Rhinolophus ferrumequinum: one gene and its partners. The protein of the gene in region 2 interacts with the protein of the main gene of each other region in a biochemical or structural test. Links are inferred from orthologs where the notes say so. Each region holds a gene or a part of one and is shown on either strand. Other genes may lie near its edges. The genes, in order: YWHAB, ZFP36 and MAPKAPK2.

What was found.
Region 1: the proteins of ZFP36 (region 2) and YWHAB form a complex in vitro, tested with the Homo sapiens proteins (2 studies listed by BioGRID). The link is inferred for Rhinolophus ferrumequinum from reciprocal best matches to the Homo sapiens genes ZFP36 and YWHAB.
Region 3: of the proteins of ZFP36 (region 2) and MAPKAPK2, one has a biochemical effect on the other in vitro, tested with the Homo sapiens proteins (2 studies listed by BioGRID). The link is inferred for Rhinolophus ferrumequinum from reciprocal best matches to the Homo sapiens genes ZFP36 and MAPKAPK2.

The regions. Positions count from the first base shown.
Region 1 is NC_046306.1:12,838,240-12,846,151, reverse strand, and holds the start of YWHAB (14-3-3 protein beta/alpha), read left to right. Parts: upstream 1-4,887; 5' UTR 4,888-5,105; intron 5,106-7,912. UniProt on the Homo sapiens protein: Adapter protein implicated in the regulation of a large spectrum of both general and specialized signaling pathways. Binds to a large number of partners, usually by recognition of a phosphoserine or phosphothreonine motif.
Region 2 is NC_046298.1:38,567,943-38,575,748, forward strand, and holds ZFP36 (mRNA decay activator protein ZFP36), read left to right. Parts: upstream 1-4,707; 5' UTR 4,708-4,807; coding exon 4,808-4,831; intron 4,832-5,648; coding exon 5,649-6,602; 3' UTR 6,603-7,238; downstream 7,239-7,806. UniProt on the Homo sapiens protein: Zinc-finger RNA-binding protein that destabilizes several cytoplasmic AU-rich element (ARE)-containing mRNA transcripts by promoting their poly(A) tail removal or deadenylation, and hence provide a mechanism for attenuating protein synthesis.
Region 3 is NC_046305.1:24,722,028-24,729,260, reverse strand, and holds the start of MAPKAPK2 (MAP kinase-activated protein kinase 2), read left to right. Parts: upstream 1-4,354; coding exon 4,355-4,615; intron 4,616-7,233. Other genes in the region: proline-rich proteoglycan 2-like, read right to left, coding at 2,808-2,854, 3,984-4,356. UniProt on the Homo sapiens protein: Stress-activated serine/threonine-protein kinase involved in cytokine production, endocytosis, reorganization of the cytoskeleton, cell migration, cell cycle control, chromatin remodeling, DNA damage response and transcriptional regulation.

The DNA of each region.
Region 1 (7,912 bases), on a different chromosome or scaffold from region 2:
CATACTCTCCTTGCTTTTTCCACCTGTGTCCAGAGATACAGCTGAAGCCAACCCATGACAAACATGTAAGAAATAAACCTTTGTTGTTGTAAGTCGCTGAGATTTTAAGAATGTTTGTTATCACAGCATAATCTAATGCTCCCTCCTATGTAATTGATACTTGGTTACTTTCTCGGGAGGAGAAACGGACTTGGTGCGGTGGTGATCACAGGGGACTTTAGTTTTTATCTTTAATAGTTTAGTTTTCTTACAATTAAAATATATTCATGCATCACCATGTAATGAAAATGCATTATTTAAAATGAATACAGCAGGCGTTTTCTTACTTAAATGCTAAAAAATATCATTCTTAAAATACACACACACAAACACCCAATAAATTCATGGTTCTTTTTGCCCAGCTGGCACTCTGAAGAAAGAGACTGGAGGTGAATAGCTGTGTGCACTTTCCAAAGCTAGAGGAAGTACTGGAGCATGACAACGCTTTGCCACTTTCTCTACAGGCAGAAATCTGCAAAGCCTAGACACACTGTGAAACTTATTTCTGGTTCAGCTATCATGAAACAGAAATACAGATTCATCTTTTGTTTTTACATTAATGATATCTACCTTTCAAATGACCTCATTTATATGAAAACAAAGGTGATTATGTAGCCAAAATTCAATTCAGTGAGTTTGGAGAATGCTGGTCTCCTTGACACAGCTTACCCTTGTCTGGCAAAGTTAGTGAGAACTATGGGAGCTCTTTTTCTGATACACCGATAGACCTTTCTGAGTCAGGATTTCAGCCTTTGTCCCATTAAAACGAAAAGCCAAAATTGGTGGGATGGATATCAAAAACCTCACGCAAGTTGACATGTCATAGGCTACCCTTCAATTTCAACTTCTTATTCAATCCAAACAGCAGCCCTCTTGTCTTTGAACTTTACTTTACTGAGCCAAAGGTCAGTGGCCAGATTCCCCGGTCCAGTGCCCAGTCCCCAGCTTTGTGTGATCAGGAAGTTATGATGCTGCAACAGGAGTAGCAGTAGTAACTCTGACCTCTCAATCACAGCTATGGTGACTTTGAAACAAAGTCCCACCTGATTTAGGCAATTCTAGCTCTTCTAATGAGTCTGCAAGCACCTAATTCCCTTTATTAAATCCTGTTCTGCTTAAAATACCTAGAGTGGTTTCTGCTTCTGTCTCCTGCACAGAACTCTGACTAAATACAAGTTGGATGATAACGTTCAGAAAGTAAACCCAAACACAAAAAGATAAAATAATAAGAGAGAGGAAGGAAAAAACAGTATAATTCGAAAATCATTCCAAGAGCTCAGATATCTGAATAATTGGGGTTCCAGAAAGCGAAGACAAAGAAAATAGAGAGGTGGAGGAAGGAAATCTTCATGGAAATAAGCCACAAAAATATCCCAGAACTGAAAGAAATAGGTTTTCAGATTAAAAGAGCCTGTTAGTGACAATTAGATATTATATGCCTCCTGGTATGAAGCAATAGGAAACATAGTCCCACCTGTAAAATTTTCTTGCCGAAAATTGAGCCAAAATCCAATCAAGTCTTTAGATATAACTGCCAGTTTATAGGACATTCAAGGGATAGGGTCACATTTTTAAAACTCTGCAAGAAACCAAATAGCCAAATTCAGACTGTGATAAGATAATTTACCCAGTTTCTTCAACAAATCAATCATATAAAGAAAAAAGGAGGAAGCGTTAACTGTGATGGATTAAAAGACACTTAAGAGATTTAGCAACTAAATGCAATGTGTAGAGCTTATTAGGATCCTGATTTAAATAAACCAATGTAAAAAGTAATTTTTAAGACAATTAGGGAAAATCAAACCTGGACCATGTATTATAAGAGAATAAGGAATTGTTAATTTCCTTAAGTGTGATCATGGAACTGTGGTTATTTTTTTTAAAAAAATTCTTACCTGTTAGAGCTACATATGGAACTAAGGTATTTACAATTCAATGATATAATGGTATTTACATTGAATGGTATTTACAAATTCAATGATATAATGTCTGGGATTTGCTGTGAAATACTCCTAAAAAAAAGGCAAAAGATAAATAGTAAAATAAAGCTGGGTGATGGGTACATGGAGTTCATTGTACTATTCTCTCTAATTTTGAGTTTGTTTGAAAATGGTCATAATAAAAAGCAAAAGAGAGGAAGAAAGAAGGGAAGAAGAAAGAAAGAAAGAGAGAGAGAGAGAGAAAGAAAGAAGGAGGAAGGGAAGGGAAGGGAGAGGAGGAAGGAGGGAGGGAGGAAGGGGAGAAAGAAGGACAAACTGTGGGACATTCATACAATGCCATAATATTCGGTGACAAAAAAAAACGAGCTCTTAAACAATACAGATATGGAGGAATCGTAAATCATATTGCTTTAACTCAGTCAAGGCTACATACTGTATGATTCCAACCATACAACATCTGGAAAAGGCAAAACAAAGACAGTGTAAATGAAAAGTCACTGCCAAGGGTTCGGGTGAGAGGGTGAGGTCTGAATAGTTGAAGCACACAAGATTTTTCGCACAGTGACTCTGTTCTATATGATACTGTAATGGTAGGTGCCTGACATGGTGCATTTGTCAAAATCCATAGACTAGAATGAACCCTACTGTAAACTATGGACTTTAATAATAATGTATTAATATTGGTTCATCCATTGTAACTCATGTACACTAATGTAAGGTGTTAATGGCAGGGGAGTCTGTGGGTGGGGACAGGTTGAGTCTATGGGAACTCTGTGCCATCGGATTAATTCTTCTGTAACCCTAAAACTGCTCTAAAAAAATAGTCTACTAAATTAACAAAAAATTCATTATGGAATCCAAAGCTCAACTATCACCTCTTTCAGGAAGTCCTGCCTGCTCCCCCACCACATTCCCAGGATGAGTTAGGTGCCCTTCTCCGGCTCCCATAATACCCTGGGCATATATATTCCTATGGCTGCATCTGCCACATTTGTATGTTAGTATCTCTTTGTGTCTCTGTCGGTTAATAGCTGTGGTTTGTTGACCAATGGCCTAGAATGCAGAAATGGTGAAAGCAGCTTATCCATGCAACCCGTTAGCAGGCACCCAGGGACGCCTGGCAAAGGGCACTTCTGTTCCCTCAGTACACTGCTGATGTCATCTGTGGTGTAACCATCATGAGCCCTGTGACCCACTAGGCTATTTTCTGGATGGGGGCATAAGGCACAGTCATGTTTCATGAAGGCTTATTTCAACCCGAGCAGTCTCTGGATTACTGACCTTTGGTTTGCCAAAGATAGATCCCCATGGGGAAGTTTTTGCACTGGGAAACTTTTCTGGGGTTCAAACCATCCTGTGGTTTTGATGTCACATTCGTGCTGTTTACATTACACAATGTTCAAGCTTGCTCAAGTTAAAAGGTGGTATAGCACAGGAGTGACAGGCACAAACACCTATATGACAGACAAGAAGAATGAGGAAAGCAGACTTGGTCAGGAGGGGACCCTGGCACTTTGAAAAGTCCATGTCTGACCTAGAGTAGGCAGCCACACTCCTTGCCTTCAGCAAACTGTTCCCACACACAAATGTTGCTAGACAAGGCAGAGATGCACATTTTTGTTCACACAAAAATCTCTGTCTTTAAAAACTTGGCAACTAACACACAAATGATTTAGAAATACTGGACGTTATCTTGGGAGGAGAAGGAATCATCCAATTGAATTGGGGTTTTATGATGGGGGAGAAAGAGCAGGAAAAGGGTACAGGGTAAGGGCAATCTCTGGAGAACCTTGATTGTCGCACTCAAGGGGCCTACCAATTGTCTTCTAGGTCTGTCTGACTAATCACCAAAGGATTTAAGCAAGAAAGGAACAGGATTAGAATGGCATTTTAAAAAGATCACTTTGGCAGTTGATGGAGGCAGGGCTCAGAGTAAGGTGATGAGCTAGAAGTCTATCATTAAGGTGAGTCAGGGTAAAGAAGAGGTGACAAAGGCGTCTTCACTTTGTTTTTTCTCCTACCAGATTGTAAATTCCAAGACAGCAGGGCCCCGCCTGTGGTGTTCTTGCTGTGTCTCCAACAATCAGCACACAGCCTGCTCAATAAATATTTATTGAAAGAATGAATGAAAGGGAGGGCGAGCAGGTGAGAGGCATTTTGAAGAACTGTGTTTAAGAGTCAACTGCCTTGGAAGAAACAGATCAATGTTGATAACGGTGAGTGCAGTCATGCGAGTGGGGGCTGTGGGGGCCTGTTTCCTTTCCTTAAATTTCCTCTAGGAGCTCGAAAGGGGGGTGTTCAATTACGAGATTATCAACACAGGCTTAAAAAAAGGGAAAAAGACCTTCGATCCTCATGGCCTCTTCAGTCCAAAAAAGAGGAAATGATTAGTACCTTGAAGGACTGAAGACAGGATTAAGCAAAAATTTAGGAATGAGCAATTTCTGTCCATCCCTAGATCCAGTATTTCCAAAGGACAGCGCAAAAGGGGACTGACCTCAACCTCTAACCCCATGGCGATTACTTCTAGGGTGGGGTGGGAACCGATGACCTCGGAATCTTTGGGCCTGGCCCTCTCGAGGTTTAGCCTAAACAGAGTGGGCCTCAGGCCCGCCCCACCCCAAACCTCGCCCAGTCTTCCTCGTTCCAGCACATCCCAGTTCTTGACCCTCCCCCCACCCGCCCCCTCTCCTCCTACCTCCTCTTTCCGCTCCCCCGCCCCCATTTCCGTCCCCCACCGCCCGCCTCCTCCTTGCTCGGGGCCCCGGCCCTCCGCCCTCCGGCGGCAGCCGCATCCAGGTCCCCTGCTCCGCTTCCTCCACCCTCTGTCAGCGCCCCTCTCACGCGGCCGGGGCAACCCCGTGCCCCGCTCGCCCAATGAGGAGAAGGCGCAGGGGCGGGGCGGAGCTCGGGACGGAGCGGAAGTGGTGACCGGAGCGGAAGTGGAGCTGCCGCCACCGCCGCCGCCGATTCCGGAGCCGGGGTGCCTGCTGCCGCCGCCACTGCAGCTGCCGCCGCCGCTGCCGCCGCTACCGCTGCCGCTTGAGGAGTGGGCCTGGGAAGAAAGCGGTCACCGCGCTCGGAGCTCCTCTCGCAAGCGTCTTTGCCCCCTGCAGCCCTCCCACGGTGAGTGCGGCGCGGGGTCCGCCCGTGGCCCCCGGGGGCTCAAGGCCAAAGCTCCCCCCCTCCCCGGCGGCGGCGACGACCACCAGGGCGACCCCGCGGGTGGGCTTCTAGGGTCGCGCGCACGGCCTTCTAGGCCCCGCGCGGCCGCCTGCGGCGCGGGCCTGGTCTCGCCGCGGCCCCTCCCTATTTCCGGGGCCGGGCCCTTCGCTCTCGGAGAGGCCCGGGCCGCCCTCGCCGCCTGCGGCCCTGCCCGGCGGGCGGGGTGCGGCTCCGTACCGGGCGGGAATGGGCTTCCAGCCGCGGACCTCAGGCCCTCCCTCACTGCCCAGTTTCGATCCCCGCGCGACCCCTCCCTGCTCCTCGGGCGCGGAGATCCGACCTTTTCAGCCCTGTCACCCCTGCTTATTACTTTCTGGCTTCCAGCAATTAAAATTGAACCAAAGGCCGACGAGTTCTCGAGGCCCACTGCTCCTGCTTCACTCTCCCTGGATGGGTAAGGGGTTTAACCTTGGGAGAGAGCAGAAAGCAAACCCCCTCCCACTTTGCAGTAAAGCCATTTATTTCATCATCGTTCGCTGGTTTTTGAGCCTGGCAGAATCCGAGGTTCCCTGGGAAGTCTAGGGTTGAGGTTTGAATCAAGAAAATGCATTTGTTGGAACCGGTTACTGAGTCAGGCCGGATCCCCAGGAGAAAAAATGTAAAAGGCTGAGTACCGAGTATCTTCCCACGGTATCTACCGTCATTAATGCCAGAGTCTTTTGTGTCCTCGCCCCAAATTCCCTCATGCTGTGTGTTAGTATGTTTTTAGGACTGAAATTTGCCCTGATGGCCTCTCTGGTGGTGGGGAAGAGTAGGAGTGATTTGGACCCCTTTTCTACCTAAGATGAGTACATCTTCGTCTATTGCAAATGGAGAACTCCGATGCAATGGGGTTTTCAAAGGTGGCAGTATTGGTAAGACAATTTGCCAACCTTTCTGTAAAAATCCATGTCTCTTGTCCTTGCTGTCACTGCTTTTCACTTTGGTAAGGCTAGATAGCAAGCATCAGGCTCTGGTTTGACTTGCTATGTGTGGGAGATGGAATTTGGAAAGATGATGTTATGAACACAGCAAATTAGGTGGCAGCAAGAGCCTGAACAGAAAGACGAAGCATTTGTGAGAATATAAAAATTGTCTGCATTTCTCATTGTCTTCAGTTGTTCATATGAAACCACACACATGCAGTTTATAGAACAGGACACATGGTCACGCAGCTTTTTGCATTTTCCCGTTAGAAATGTAAAAGTGTTATTTAGTTTGTAGTGATTTTTCTCCTTGAACACTTTCAGTGAACCCCATTTCTTATTTAGGAATTGTGTCTCACTTGCCTGAACCCTCATTTTTCTTGGCTCTATGTCCTTAGCAGCACACAAGATGGTGAGAGTAAAATCTGTCTGTTTCACTGGACTCAAATTAGAATTTTATGGGTAGTCTTCAAAATAGAAGGCTAATAATCCAGTAGCAAATGCTGAATTATTTTCCTGGCCCCTACTTTCCATGAGATAAGAAACCATTCACCCATCTTACAGATGGAGTCTTTGTGGGAAGTGAGGTGATTTGGCCTAGACCACACACACCTGGTTTTCAGACTGAATGTCTTCATTCATCAGTAGTAAATATTTATGGACTGTCAGTCCCTGGAGTATGGTATGGCTCCTACCCTATAATCTTCTGTGTGTTTCCCATGATGCAGTGCTTGTGTTATGTTGAAGCCATTTTAGAATTGGATCTCTTGATCAGGGAGGCAACCTCCAGAAAACCAGGCTGAGCAAATTCCCATGATGCTAGTTCCCAAGGCAGAATCTCCAGATTTTTGGGCCACTGCAAAAAGTGCGTTTTGCCCATTTGGCTGTGGATATACAAGCAGAAAGAGCACTAGACTTGGAGTCAGATCAATTTGATTCAGGTCTTGCCTGCAGCATTTTCTAGCTGTGTGATTTTGAGCATGCTGCCTAATCTCTGGTTCTTCTTTCTCTATCTATATTGTATGAAGCCTTTTTACAAACTGGAAATTGTTAAATATAAGCTTTTGATTTTGTTTTTTAATCACAGAGTTTACCATTAATGGCTTTGTTTTTTCCTCCAGTTGCATTCTGATGAGACCCAACTCCTCTGTGTACGCATGTTGCTTTTTTAAAAAATGACAGAGTATTATTATAGAACCGTATTTTGTGTATAGCATCTCTAGTCTTTCTGAGCCCATTTTCTCATGCAAATGGTAATGGCCTTTAATGAATTCTTGTGGGAAACTCAGTAATCAAATAAGGATATGGGCTGTGTACTAGGTGTTGTGTAAAGGTTATTTGACCATATAAATGGGTGTACATATACATGTATAGATAAGATATATGCATATATGCTATATAGTATGAACACATATAGAGTCTATCCATTTGTGATTTATTCGCCAACTGAGGAGGTTGCATCAAGCAATTAGTTTATAATACTAATAGCTACCACTTATGTTGCTCACTATGTGCCAAGCTGTGTTCTAAATACTTTACACATATTAATAACCCTTCATAACAAGCAATGATAGGTATGTACTGTTAGCCCCATTTTACAGATGAATAAACCAAAGCACAGAGAAGTTAAATAATTTTCTTAGGGATATACACACAGCAACGGTAAGTGCTGGAATCAGGAATCAAAAGCAGGCAGTCTGGCTCTAAAGATAGATTTCTACTCGTAGTAAAACAACATGTGTATATCTTTTGTGTGAAGATTTCATTTCATCCTTAATTTTTCTTTACATGTGTCTTTTTAAA
Region 2 (7,806 bases):
AAAAGCACTGACCATTATAATCTAGTCCTTGTCAATTTGGCACCCATGCTCATCCTCACCCATAGTTAATCTCCAAATAAATACAAAAACAAAGTCATTCCCACCTAACATGATGCAATTATCTGTGTACAACCAAAAAGGCACCTTCCCCAGCACAGCCCACCAGCTTCCAGCCTGAGGGTACATAGCAGTTGAGAAGTGTCAAGAAACTTACTAAGAAAATAATAAGGAAAACTACATTTACAGTATTTATTGAAAAAAAAAATCCACATGTAAGTGGACCTGCCCAGTTCAAAACCTAGTTGTTCAAGGGTCAACAGTATATCGGAAGTTCCAAGAAGAAAACTAAAGTAGAAAAGTGGGATCAGAAGTGGAGACTTTTAATAGAAAAAAATAACAAAGGTACTTAGGAATCTAACATGCAAGACTTGTGTGGAGAATTATGTTACTTTATTGAGAAAGTTAGAGCTTAGGTTGGGTAGTGGTTCATGGGTATTCATTATGGTCTGTAAATAGATGTTACATGTATTTGTTATTTGTTAAATATACCAAGATTTGTGGGTTTTTTTAACTTTTAAAATCCTTGACATGACATGAAGGCCTCGATGAGAAAGCAGACTTGGAGAGAGAATAATGTGGACATTGGGGAAAAGAGCGTTCCAGGACGGGAATGGCAAGTGCAAAGGCCCTGAGGCTGGAAAGTGACAGTGTGTTTATGGAATAACGTGGAGTCCTGGACCACAGTGAAGAGGCAGGGACAGATGTCCAGGCAGGTTATGGAGGCCCTTGGTTTAGATCTTCACTAGGTTATTTGACCCAGAGGGCAACGTACAGCCTGTTGCACGACCACACTCTCCAGGGAAGGGTGTACATGAGATGCACTGCCACACAGCAAACTGTTTTGGGGGACACAAGCACATACAAGACCCCACCCCAGCAGAGAATAGCATAACCCACCATCCTATTATCATGGTGTCCCCAGGCTCTCAGTCCCAGTGACAAACCCACATCAGACTAAAGGAACAATCCATGTGAATACACAAACAGCACTCTAACCACTACTTAACCTGCTATCTCTTACCCCATCGCAGACTTTGCCCATCACTGGCTGACTCAGCCATGCCCTCAGCTCAACATTATCAAAAGCAGCCTTGGCTGGGAGAGATAAGGTTTCCCAGGTGCCAGTATGTGCGCCTGTGTGTGTCTGCTCTGCCCATACAGGCTGGCAGAGACATGGAGTGGAGAGTGCGCCCACAACCTCCCCGTCATGCGCCAGCTGTAGACGTCAGGAACCAAAGTTCACCAGTTTCACTACCTTGTGACTGGGCCACAGAGGAACCACCAGATGCTGGCCTCGTATGTTCTCAGTGACACCCCCAAATAAGGACACAGACACATAAGAACACTATTCACTACACACATGAACTGCAGGGGCCTGTACACAGCCGCAACTGCCAATAGTCTCACAGATGCTTATACATACTCAACTTGGACGTGTGTATGCAGATCCTCATCGCAGCAGAGGGCAGTCAGTCATACCCTCACCAGGCTCTCACGGAGTTACACACACTTAGTCACTCCAGATCCCACAGTGGTTCAGAGGTACAAGAGACCTGCAGGTTGGGTTTGTAAGTCACACCAACACCACCTCAAAGACAAGGTTGAGTACACACTCCCACACCCAGAGATGGTTAAAGTAAAAACAGTATAAATCAGTCACAGGCCCAAGCGGTTTCACACAATTTATTCACAGCCATGTCAAGTGGGATTGAAAATACACAGCCCTCACACAGGGAAGTGGGCCCGCTCGTGTCCCACACCTATTGGTGCAATGGCATACCCAGGTACCCCAGGTCTTAACCCAGTCACGCCAGGGCACACACCTTCGCACCTGCAGCGCATACTTCACACAATATACGACACACATATACACACACAAACTCTCTCTCTCTCTCTCTCTCTCTCTCTCTCTCTCTCTCTCTCTCTCTCTCTCTCTCTCTCTCTCTCTCTCTCTCTCTCTCTCTCTCTCTCTCTCTCTCTCTCTTTCTCAGGCCCACGCAGTTGCACAAAGCCGGCCGCACCCGCTCACGCCCAATCACACCAGGCGCACACTCGGCCTGGGCACACGTGCCGCCGCGAGTACACGGCCCCCGCTCGCCCGCGCACTAGCCCCGGCTCTCACACCCCCGCATTTCCCGTCCCCGCTTGTTTTTCTGGAAACTGCGCTCCGTTCCCCTCCCCCTAGGCCGGAAGTGCTCGTTGTATTTTTAGCTTCTCTGGTTTCCGCCCCTTTCCCCCAGCTCCTGCCCGCCCAGGAGTTGCCCCCTGCACCCCGCCGGGGACCCCGGCCATCCCCTTCCCCACCGTCATTCCAGAGGGGATTCCCGGCCGCCGCTGGGGCCACGGATTTTCCCGCCGGCTACGTGGGGCGTGGGGAGGAGTCCTGCCCTGAATTTCCTCCTGGGCTGGGACGTCTGAGGCCAGGATAGGGTGGGAGGTGGGTGGAGAGCTGGCCTCCTAAATCGGAGGGAGGAGGGGCTGGGGGTTCGGACTTTAGGGTCTAACCTAGGAGGGACTGGAGGTCGGCTCTCCTGGGTCTAAGCCAGAGGTGGCTTGGAGACCTGGACCCCTAGATCTGAGCAAGGAGGGATCGAGGCCCGGTCTCCTGGGTCCCACCCGTCCGGGTTTCGGGGTCGGTCCTTTCCGGTGCAAAGCCCCCCCAACCCCCTTCCAGCCTCTTCAAGAGTCGCCCAATCCAAAGCGTCCAGGCTCTTGGGCCGATGACTCAGCAGATGGGAGAGGGGAGGGGGTCAGCCTGACTCAGGGATGGGAAATGTTCCCTGTCTCCAGGGAATCGAAACTGGAATCCCTCCTCCCAGATCGAGGCTGGCGCCAAGCCGGACTCCGGGGACCCCAGGTGCACCCCACCTCCCGTTTTCCTGCTGCCTTCGTCCTACTAGCGGCACAGGGATTTGGAGCCCAACCGGGAGACGGGTGCCAGGCACCCCGCCTTTCCCCCCTTTTCCCGTTGTCCTCGAGGCTCTGTTTACAGGCGACTGAAGCCCTGGTTACAGGAGAGGAACCCTGGCGTCCGGGCTGAGCCTCCTCGTCACGGCTTCCAGGAAGGCCCCCTCCCCCGCCCCTTGCGAGTGAGTCACGGGCGAGCGGGAGGCTGCAACCGTGCCAGAGCCGCCCGCAGCCACCCAGCTCACGGGACTGGTCGGGAAGGCCCCCTCAGCCCCAGAAGGCGCCGCACCAGGGATTTCCCCGAGCTCTGTCCGACAAGGCGGGTCGGTGTGCCTTGCCGAATCTCCCCACTTCAATCTGCAAGAATGAACTTGGCACTATTATAACAGCACTCCATGGCAATGGTTTCTGCTCCCATATTTTCACTCAGGGCAGCCAGCTCACCAAGACTCCCTTAAGAAACGAGTTTTCTTCCCAGATCTTGATGTTTTTACGAAGGGCAACCGCTTACCAATAAACGGCTTGCTTATGTGGGGAGTGATCCCCGTAAGTTTAGAATTCCCTCAAGGTACACCCCTTTATGATACCCATTGGGCTATCAATTGGGGATGACCCATTACTTCCATATCAAAACAGCTTTCCATCAAGGTAACCCGCCACCACAATGAAAGATCTTGCCCTTTCCGATCTTGAGTTCTCCGAGAAGGCAAATGCAACATAATTTAAAGCCCTGGTGTTGGGCTGCTGCCACTTATTGAATGAGAATAGGAGAGTAACTTGACCTCTATGCCTGGGTTTCCTCGTGTATAAAATGGTCACAGTAACCCCTCCTTGAGTTAATGTATGTATGTAAAACACTTTCATACAACAGTGCCTAGCCTAGAGGAAGCGATCAGAAGTGCCACTATCTGTGGGAGGGCGAGAGGCTACAGTGGCTCTGGAATTGGGAAAGGAGGCCCCTTTCCAGCCTCGCCAAATATCCAGGACCCCACCCCTGGAGAGTGGGGGCGGGGAGGGCGGTCAAGGTCTCCGGATCTGGGATGTTTGAGCGAGACGAAGCCAGGCCGGCAGGTCTCGGGAGAGAATTCCCTGCCAAGCCTGTTGGTTGCCTTTCTCTGTTTTGCTCCTGCGGATTTCTGTCTAAGGGTGTTTGTTTCTATTTTTTCAACCTCTTTTTCTGTTTCTTTATGTGACCCTCCCTCTCACTTCTCTGAATTTGTTTCTGGGACTGTCTCTGTCATGTCTTTTCTGTCTGTCTCCCCACCTCCTCTCCTCTCCTTACCCAGTCTCTCTTCTCTTCCCTCTCTCTCTCCTTCCCTGTGTATGTCTCTCCCTCACTCTGCTGTGTCTCTTGTGTTTTTCTGTTTGCCTCTCTCCATTTCTCCGTCTCTGGCTCTCCGCGCCTCTCCCCGCCCCCGTCCGTCTGTCTCTCACACGCACTCCCACTGCCTCGGCCTCTGCCCTTGTCAGTTCTCCTAGGAACCCTGCCCCCACCTCGGTCCCAGTTCCTATATCGCGCCTCAGTCTCCAGCCTTGAAAACTGGGTGGATACCCGCACCCCACAAACTCCCCACCGGGTCGCGGCCGCCTGCGGGCCCAGCTCGTGCGCATCCGGGCTGGGAGCCAGGCGGAACCGGGACCAGTCCCGGGTCGGCGGGCTGCGCTGGGGGCGCGCGTCCGGGAAGCGCCCCATCGTGACCCCGCCCACCAGGCCCGCCCCCTCATGGCCCCGCCTCCACTTATCTCATAAAAGCACCGGCTCCTACACCGGGCGGTAGTCTCACTCCAGCGCTCTCCTACTTTCGGCCGGGTTCACCGTTGATCGGCTCTCCGCGCCGCCATGGATCTCACCGCCATCTACGAGGTGAGTCTCCGCCGATCGGTACCCTGGGGTCCCAATGCCTGACTTCCTTCTCAAACTAGGGCTCTCTACCGCCGCAAACTCCAGCCCGGGATCCCTGGCTCTCTTCTCTAAGTGGAACTCCTTAGCGCCGTACTCTCCGGCCGGGCTCTTGCCTTCCTTCTCAGACTAATGTGATTCCTTGGAGGTGAAAAATGGAGCCCGCGACTTTAGGGTCTCTGCCCAAACATGGGTGGGGTGACCCTTGGAGATGGAAAGCGGGAGGAGTTTTCTCAGACTAGGGCTGTGTGGAGGCGGAAATGGCCCCACACCTGGCTTCCCCCCAGTAGTTGCTGAGGGCGCGGTTTTGCGCGGAGGCGTTTCTGGGGCTGGAGTCTCGGGGTGATGGGAAACCGACTTCTGTCTCCACTCCCTGACCCAGAGGAGTTCTCTGGGACTCAAAACCTAAAAGATCCAACTGCTAGGTTAACTTTGCCGGCTCCTCCAGTTGTGAAACCAGAGAACACAAGGAGTGGGGGTCAAATCCCAAGAGGCCCGAAGGCTCAAAATTGGAGGGCATTGGTGTGCCCCTGAGTTTGGGGGCCTCTCCATCCAGCCGGGGGACCCAGGATTCCTGGGTCCTTCGAGATAGGCTTCATTCGCTAATAAACTCAACCTCCAATTCGGGGTCCCTCCGATCCGGAACCTATGAGTTTCTGCGGGCGGGTGGGGCTAAGGCTAGGAGCCCACAAACCGGACTGGCAAGCTCCTAGGTGCCCTGAAGCTGAGGAGAGGCGTCACCCTGCATTTTCGGTGTCTTAACCGATCCCTGTTCCCACAGAGCCTCCTGTCGCTGAGCCCTGACCTGCCATCCGACCATGGAGACACTGAATCCAGCCCAGGCTGGGCCTCCTCAGGACTCTGGAGCTTCAGCTCATCTGATTCCAACCCATCTGGGGTTGTTGCCCGCCTGCCTGGCCGCTCCACCAGCCTGGTGGAGGGTCGGAGCTGTGGCTGGGTGCCCCCACCCCCAGGCTTCGCACCCCTGCCTCCCCGCCCAGGCCCTGAGCTGTCGCCCTCACCCACCTCACCTACTGCGACCCCCACCACCTCATCCCGATACAAGACTGAGCTTTGTCGGACCTTCTCAGAGAGTGGACGCTGCCGCTACGGGGCTAAGTGCCAGTTTGCCCATGGCCTGGGTGAGCTGCGCCAGGCCAGTCGCCACCCCAAGTACAAGACGGAACTCTGCCACAAGTTCTACCTCCAGGGCCGCTGCCCCTATGGCTCGCGTTGCCACTTCATTCACAACCCCAGCGAGGACCTGGCTGCCCCTGGCCACCCCCATGTCCTGCGCCAGAGCATCAGCTTCTCAGGCCTGCCCTCAGGCCGCCGAGCCTCGCCACCACCGGCAGGCCTAGCAGGCCCTTCCCTGTCCTCATGCTCCTTCTCGCCCTCCAGCTCCCCACCACCACCACCTGGGGATTTTCCACTTTCACCCTCTGCCTTCTCTGCTGCCCCTGGGACCCCTGTGGCCCGAAGGGACCCTACCCCAGCCTGTTGTCCCTCCTGCCGAAGGGCCACACCCAGCAGCGTCTGGGGACCCGTGGGTGGCCTGGCTCGGAGCCCCTCTGCACACTCCCTGGGATCTGACCCTGATGAATATGCCAGTAGCGGCAGCAGCCTGGGAGGGTCCGACTCACCAGTCTTTGAGGCTGGGGTTTTTGGGCCACCCCAGCCACCTGCAGCCTCTCGGCGACTCCCCATCTTCAATCGCATCTCCGTGTCTGAGTGACAAGTGCCTGCCCAGTACAGATCAGCTGGATCTTAAGGGGGGCCATTTCTCTTGTACTGTGGGGAACTCTTATAATCAAGTAGCCCCCGTCTTCCAAAATGCATTAACCCACTCCACTGACCCCATACTGGGGCAGGTCCCCAGTGTGCAAGTTCATGGTGTTGGGGGAAGGAGTGTATTCTGAAGTCTTTGTATTAAAAAAGATGTAGCAAATTTAAGGGAGGCAGTGAGGCCTCTTCCCCCCACCCTCTCCCCTGCCCAATGCTGTGAATAAATAGGCCCCCACTGCCCCCTCCCAGTTTTTCCTAGACCCTGAGGTTCTGGTGTGACTGGAGCCTCCCCATGAGGGGCAATCCTGGTGCTCAAGTTTCCCTCCAAAAGCAAGTAGCCAAAACGTTGCCAACCCCCCTCCCCCAATCATTGGGCCCTTTATTTATGACGACTTTATTTATTCTAATAGATTTTATAGTATTTATATATATTGGGTCGTCTGCTTCCCTTGTATTTTTCTTCCTCCTTTTTGTAATATTGGAAACGATGGATAATTATTGTTGTAAGTGTACTATAATAATATATTAAGTAATATATATTGTTAAAAGTTTATTTTTCTGTGTTTTTTTGAATTTTTGAATAAAAGGCATCTATGTGTAAACTGGAATCCTGGCTTTCCTGCGATCTAGAGGCAGTGAGAGTGGGGAGGATGGTGTGCCCCTTTTTAGAAGCGGGTTGAGTCGATTCACACAGTTCCTTCAAACCTTCCCGGAGCCACAGCCACCAGCCGCGCTTACCTGGCAGGAAGTGACGTCACCTGACCTGGCCATTCACCTGAGGGGGCGGGGCCAGGTGAGGTCACCCGGTAGGAACCAGGAGAGCCAGTTCCCGGGGCGTCGGGGGCTCAGGCGCTCCCCTCTTGTCGGGCTCCTTGACCCAGCTCTCAGCTGGGCGCGGATGGGATGTTTCCATCCCCGCGGGGCTGAGGGAGGAGGGCGGGGCGGTGCGGGGAGGACGGAATGTGCCGGGGCGCGAGCCCAGGGCGGGCGGGGGCGGGGGGAGGGTCAGCCCGGAAGCCGGGGTGGCCTGGGGCCCACCACCCGGCCTTCCAGGACCTGAGGGGCTGGGGGATTCACACTCTCGCAGTCGTGGGGGAGGTAGCTCTAATTAAGTTTCAGGGTTCTAGAATCGCAACATTTTGGAATCTTCAGAG
Region 3 (7,233 bases), on a different chromosome or scaffold from region 2:
TGACCTTGACCTCACCCTCAGCTCCCACAGAGGACTCAGCAAGCGTTTCCTCCTGGGACTACAAGTCCTGCATCCGGGCTGCCTCAGCAAGCACTTCCCAGCCCACAGGGCCACAAGGACCTTAGCTTTCTCCGGCCTCTGCTGGTTGGGGAACCATCCACGTCTTCCCACCCCTCCACGGGGATCCAGCTCTCCGGCAGCTGCTCCTCCTGGTCTTCCTGTGACTGAGTGTTCATACGCACAAACTGCTCCACCGCCCTTTGGGGAGCTTTGGCCGACACCATACCCTGCTCGCTGCGCCATTTGTCGTGCGGGGAGTCTGGCAGGGTATCCTGCCGACTACGCCAAGTGTCGTGCGGGGCGGCCTGCGGGGTCTGTGGGGTCTCTGCTCCCGCTCCCCACACAAGAACGCAGGACATGGTGAGGCCAAAAAGGAACACCCACGGAGCCATAGGTAGGGGAGTCACACCACTATACTCTCACTGGCGGCTGGGTTGGAGACACAGGAACCAGGAGCAACACAATTCTCAACCCTCACTGTGCCGCTTGCAGACTCAGCCACCATCTTCTTGCTAGCTCCCCCTTTTTTTGCTAGCCTAGCCACGGCAGTTATATTCATGGCCAATGGCTCACTGGTTACAGCTGACGGCCAACTAGCCACAGCTGCTGGCCATTTGATCACAGTCAATGGCTATTTACTACCTGAGCCAGCACCTTTCTATGTGAGGCCGAGAGCCTGGAAACTGCTTTTTGGGGCTCTGTCCCCACAATGATCTTCATCTTTCATGAAGCAGACACCTATGCCTCTAATGTGTCCTTATGAAATAAAACTATATAAAAGGAAAGCAGGGGAATGGTGACCATTGGATTCAGGATAATGGTTATCTTTAGCTAGGGAAACAGGTGGGTTGTGGGGGAATGGAGGAAATACCTACTTAGATGTATGTTATTGTCAAAGTCCTAGTTTTAATTTTGGGTAGTGGATTCACAGGTGCCTATTGTATTATTAAAAATAACTAGTAACTAAATAAAAGCAGAGATACTTGGACAACGATGAAGGTGTGTCATGAATCAAGGATTAGAAATAATCCAATGTTATGTACTTGAGGTCTTTAAATTGTCTTTGTGTGTACAATATTGCATGACATATGCGTTTGCATGTCAGTATTTTCTATATGCATATATCTTTAACTTTTAAAGGGCTCCTGCACATCCAGAAAAACTGTTTAAGGAATTCATTGCAGATGGTTGCGAGTTTGGTGTTATATAAACAGGACTTCGGACTTCAGTATCCTAAGGGAAATATTTTATTTTATCATTACAATAGCTCTACAATGTAGGCAGGACAAATGTTATTATTACTATTTTACTGATGAGAAAAAGGGAACCGAGAGGGCAAGGGACTTTCATGAGGTTACGTAATTAGTACTGGAATGGAACTTAAGACTCTGCATCTCTTGCCTAATGCCTCTTCCTTTAGTCCATCTTATTCCCCAGTTATTATTTATGCATTATGCATTTATTCCATGTTACATGTCAATCACATTGCGCCTATGTGTTTGTTTGTGTTCATATATTTGTGTGTTTTCTGGGTGTTGTGTGCAGTTTTTGTAATCTCTATGCTCTATGTACAGGCCCTTAGAGTTCTTATGTGCCCCGCAGGCCTAATAGGCCCTTGTAACTCCGGGAGGAGTTCCCAGCTGGGGTTTCAGCTATCTTGCTATTCCTAGGTCACTGGGCTTCAGCACTTCCCCAGAGACCTATCTAGGTAAGCAGGCAGCTTTACTATCAGGGACCCATCCGCAGGCAGTGATCCACAGAGTTGAGGAGCAAGCCAGCAATGCCTCAATAATGATAATATTGACTATTTTATGATAATTTATAGTTTATGAAGAGTTCTTATGAACACCATCTCATTTAATTCTCAGCCCTGAAAGTAGACTTTATAATTGTTCTCATTTTCAGATACAAAGAGAGGATAAATGGCTCACTCAAGGTAACTCAACTTGAGGATAGACTTGAATTCAGGTCATTTGCCTCCAAATTCTGTATTCTTTCCATGGTGCCTGGCCACCTCTGAAAGGGCATAAAGAGCTTGTCATCTGTCTAGCCTTGTGGAGAGAAGCAGGTGACTGCCCAATGCCAAGCAGTAGGAAGCCCCTAGTGACCCTCTGCAGAGGAAAAAAGACCAATTCAGAGTCCTGAGCAGCCCCCGACTCTGGACCTGAGAAAGAGACTAAGTAGTTGGAGCTTTCGCCCCTAGGTAAGGACCCTTGGGCATCTCCCACGTGTGCCTCCCGCAATGCAATTCGCAATTCGATAGATCTAGTGAGGTAAAAGGTGTCTTCTAATCTCTGTGGCCTTAGGCAGTCTCTTTGTCTATGAAGAGTCAGGGTTTGGGGGAATTGTCTAACCACATCCACCCTTTAGCACAGGAGGAAGTTCGGGTTCCTGCTGCCAGAGGTGAATCCCTCCGCCTTCTGCTCCCGGACCTGTGTCTGTGCCACTCTTGTGATGCTGTCCGCCTTGTACCTGTGTGTCTTCTTCCCCACAGATTAACACAATTCACCACCGCAGGGCCAACCGAGCATGGCACCTTGGACTCAGTCAAGGTGTACACTAAATTAACTCTGCTTGAAAAGAACAAATATTTGTGTTAGGGGAACCATTTCTCTCCTTGGGCTGTGGAGTGAGCCTTGCAGGTCCAGGAAGGGACTGTGCTGGGAGGGTAACTCCTGCCTTCCACTGGACCCCTCCCTCCTTCCCTGCCTGGCCTCAGTCCCCAAGGGCCCCTGTCCTCGGGATGTTCACTTCTCTCCTTCTTCCCGAGCTGGGTCTCCCCGGACAAGGGGGCCTGTGGAGTGTCGGGGGATGGATTAGGGGGCCCGGGGAGCCACAGGTCGAGCCCCATTGTCTGATTTGGACTTATCAGCAATCGCCTGTCTGGTTCTTTTGTCTTATTGCTCAACTGTTCCACTAGTCAGAGCTGCAAGTTCAGCAGGGATGTATTTGATAGTCACCCCGAAGCCCCACAGAACGTGTATAGAGGTCTTCTGGCAGCTCATATTTAGAGCCTCCCTACCCGCCTCCCCTGATGTGGGCTGCGCTATAGGTCCAGCTCGATCCTCGCTTTCTTCCTCAGAGACGTGGGGCTAACACGGACTAGAACTCTGCTTCTTCAGAAATACCCACTTTTCATGACTGTAGATTCAGGGTCTAGGTTCTCCACATTGGAAATCAGAACCTATTCACCAGACCTTCCCGTTTGCCACATTGTCTTGTTAACGCGATCCACAAGCCATGAACAGGTATTGCTTGCTGTTCTTCCCGCAGAGAGACAGCCACGACGGCTTGCTCAGGGGCACACTGCCAGCCAGTTGCTAAAGGCTCCCGACTTCAGGAAGTCTCAAAGTCAATCCATCCTCTTCCCACCCTGTATCCTGTTTTTAAAAGCTATTTTACATGAAAATATACATATATGTTCAAAGGTATAATTACTAAATTCTTCATAGTTACATGTCTTTACTGAAAAACAATAAATTTATGAGAAAAGAAATGCAAAACGCAGAGGAAAATGTTCAACTTAAGAAAATATTTAATATTTGCCTCACATTTACTCCTAGGATGAACGGCCTCTGTGGCTTCAGCTCACCGCCGAGGTCTCATCCAGCCCGTACTTCCTTGTCATCCCTCTCCCTCAAAATACACTCCCTCTTCCAATTGGCTGCCGCTAAAAGCCACACAGTTGGGAAAAAAAGTGGATTTTCTATCTGAATTATGCAGCTACTTCCATACCCCTCCGCCTTCCCCTTGCGTGGCCCTCATTAAGAACTAGGATTTCACCGTCCCCACTTGTCCCCCAGCCCCGAGGCCCGCCCTCTACGCTCCGGATGTCTCGCGTCCTCCCCTTTAAGGCCAGCCCCTCCCCCACGCCCACACCTCCCCGGCCCGGCCCCGCCTCCCCAAGCCCTGCCCCCTCCGACCCTCCCCTTTAAGGACCGGCCCCGGACGCAGACGAGGCTGTGACGCGGCCGCCGGCCCCCGGGCTGGGTACTTTGTCGCGCGGCCGCTTCCCCCCGGGCTGGGCCCCTGCCGTCCCGCGTTCCTCCGAGCGTCAGGCCCCCGGGGGGGAGGGTGGGAGGGAGGGAACTGGGCTGGTGGGCGCCGGCGGCGCACAGCGGGACCCACGGAGCCCCGCGACCCGCCGAGCCTGGAGCCGGGCCGGGCCGGGGAAGCCGGCCCCAGCCCGGAGCAAACTTCGCCGCCGGGCGGGGGGTGGCGGGGACCCCGTCCGGAGCCCGAGGAGGGAGCGGCCGCGGGCCCTCCCGCCTCTCCTCCCGCGTCTCCCGGCACCATGCTGTCCAACTCCCAGGGCCAGACCCCGCCGGTGCTGTTCCCCAACCCGCCACCGCCGCCACAGCCCCCCGCCCCGGCCCAGCTGCCGCCGCAGATCCCGCAGCAGTTTCCCCAGTTCCACGTCAGGTCGAGCCTTCAGATCAAGAAGAACGCCATCATCGACGACTACAAGGTCACCACCCAGGTCCTGGGGCTGGGCATCAACGGGAAAGTTTTACAGATCTTCAACAAGAGGACCCAGGAGAAATTCGCCCTAAAAGTAGGTTTGGGGGCGGGGGAAAGGGAGGACCGGCAGAGGGGGCTCCGAGGGACGCCCCCCAGCGCCCTGGGGCCGCTGGAGCGCGGGGTGGCTTAGCGTGACCGCACCGACCCTTTGCTGGGACGGGGCGTCCGGGCCGCTGCGGGACCGTGGGTCCCGGCGCCGAGGGTGCCAAGTGCGCGGAGGGCGGGGGCAGCGGGAAGGTCAGGGCCCAGCTGACCACGCCGCCGAGACCGCGTTTCCGGTCACCTCCGGGTGTGAGTGGCGGGGGCTCGAGAGGACTCTTGAGGACTCTGCCATTTTGGGGTTTGAGCCGGATCCAGCCGAGTTGGAACGGTTGGCTTTGCGACCACTTCTGCTAATTTCACCGCGCCTCGAGGAAGTGATTTTCGGGGTTTGTGGTTCCCCATCCTCTCCTCCTCCTTCCTTTCTTTCTGCGGGCACAAAAGGCCCATTACTCATTGAGCTGGTTGGTCGGTTGGTTTTGAGAAGTCGGATCTCAAGAGTTTATTTAGGCTCGCTCCTTATTTGGGAGCCGGAGTGTGTGATTTCACTTCCCTGAGCCTCGCGAGTGCGGCGGTGCCGCCTAGCGTCGTGCGGGCCCCGGAGGTAGGTGCCCGGCTGGGGATTCCGCTCGGCCGCTGCCCCCGGGGGCAGGAGGGATTCTTTTGATCCTAGAGTAGGGACCCTCCTACCTTAAGTGCAGTGAGGCTCCGGGTGGGAGGCCAGCAGCCTCCCGCACGGCGTCCGCTGTGTCCATAGCTCCAGTGATCGTTGTAAACCCGGTCTGCAGACCACGCATGGCCCAGTACTGATTCCGCAGATCAGAGGTGGCCACTTGAGTCCTGGATGTGGACCGTTGTTGGACAGTGGGAAGGGAGCGTTATCCTTGAGTTGGGGAAACCCAACCTCTTTTTTCTTTTTCTTTTTGAGTGGGTCTGGTAGAGGGAGAACGGGGATTTCAGTGAGAATACCTACTCCAGAAGTTAAACAGAATAGACTTGGAGGTTGATGAGGTGCGTGGGTCCCCGTGCAATGGTAGCCAGTGTTCAGAGTCACTACAGACGTTTTTCCCCTCCCGAGGGTTTACAGATTAAACCACATCTCTAAAGGTGGTATGTCAGGCCTATTTCCCCTGAGGTGTCTTAATGATTGGAGGAGGAGAAAATTACTTCCTGTGTTATATTTCTTCCCCCTCAACCCGCAGGGCTAGCTGTATTTCAGCTATTAATACAAAACTGAGATATGTGTTATGGGTGAAACTGTTGAATATATAATTAGCTGTAATACAACTCTGGTAGGTACTTCAGGTTTATAGAGGGTAAGCATGTCCGATTTCCAGATTTAAGATCTCTAAAATTATTTTCTTGCTGCTTTCAACCTACCTTTTTTGGAGAGAGCTTTCAACTAGTTCCAACGCTCAGATTTTATTTGGTTTCTACTTTATGGTGTTACTATGGGGTTTTGGTTAGTGTTTAGTGTTAGACTGTTGGAGAAGGAATATATTAGTCTCTTGAACATTTTAATACTTTTTGTGCCTTAGACCACTTTTTCTGTACTTATAACTGGGGGCAGGGAGGGGAATAGTTGTTTGACCGTGGCTCTGACCTTGGGCAGTGGAGTTGAGGAAGTGACTGATGTTTCTTTCCAGGAGAATTTTCTGTCCCCTCTGAAATGCCATCTGCCTTCACCCATCAGCAGTTTGGGGACACTGGCTACTCATTTTCTTGGAGAGTTGGAATATTGTGTAAAGACTTCAGAACAAAAGCTCTCATCTTCTCCTTATTCTATTTCATAGCCACACAAAACCACCCTCTAAGATGCTTTTGTTTGGCAATACAGATTTCTGTTGTAATTAGTAGAAGAGAGATTTGGATATTACCGCCTTTTGAATAGTTCTGAAAGCGAAAATCCAGCAGTATTTTAAATAATGCTCATAGTTTATTCTTCTCCAGTTAGGAGTGGGTGAAGACTGAAGTCAGAATCTGTTTTGATAGGCAGCCTGCTCCCAGATCTTACAAGTTGACTCAACTGTTATATTATAGATTCCCCACACATCTTTGTATAAAAACTTAATAATAGAGGAAGAAAGAAGGGATGAGACATTCAGAGACTGACAGCAGTGTCAACAGCACTTCATATCCAAATATTGGCTAAGACATAATTACAGTTGTAGGGGGAATCTGGTTCAAAGAATCCTGTTCCAGGCATGCACCAAAGAGATTTATAGATCTTGGATCTTGATTAACTTAACCTTAGGTGTTGATTAGTGAAGTGATTTTCAAAACCAGTAGTGTTTTGATTATAAAGCAAGGGAGGAAGATGGGTGGGGGGCAGGAGGGGTTACCCCATCTGGAAACCGCCTGAGGGAAAAGGGAGGAGAACTCTTACTGTACACAGTATGTCAGGTCATTCCTGGGGATTTGGGGCAGAGAGCAGAGCTGTAGGGCAGCAGCATGGCCTCTGCTGTGTCACAGCTCTGAGAGTTGATAGGCGGTGGTGACTGCCCAGCTGCCCTGCTCCCTATCTGTGGTCTGTGATCTTTTAGCCCTATTAAGTGAAATCAGCGCTTAAAACAGTAGTCTCAGCTTGCCCTGCTGCTTCTCTACTTGCACCTG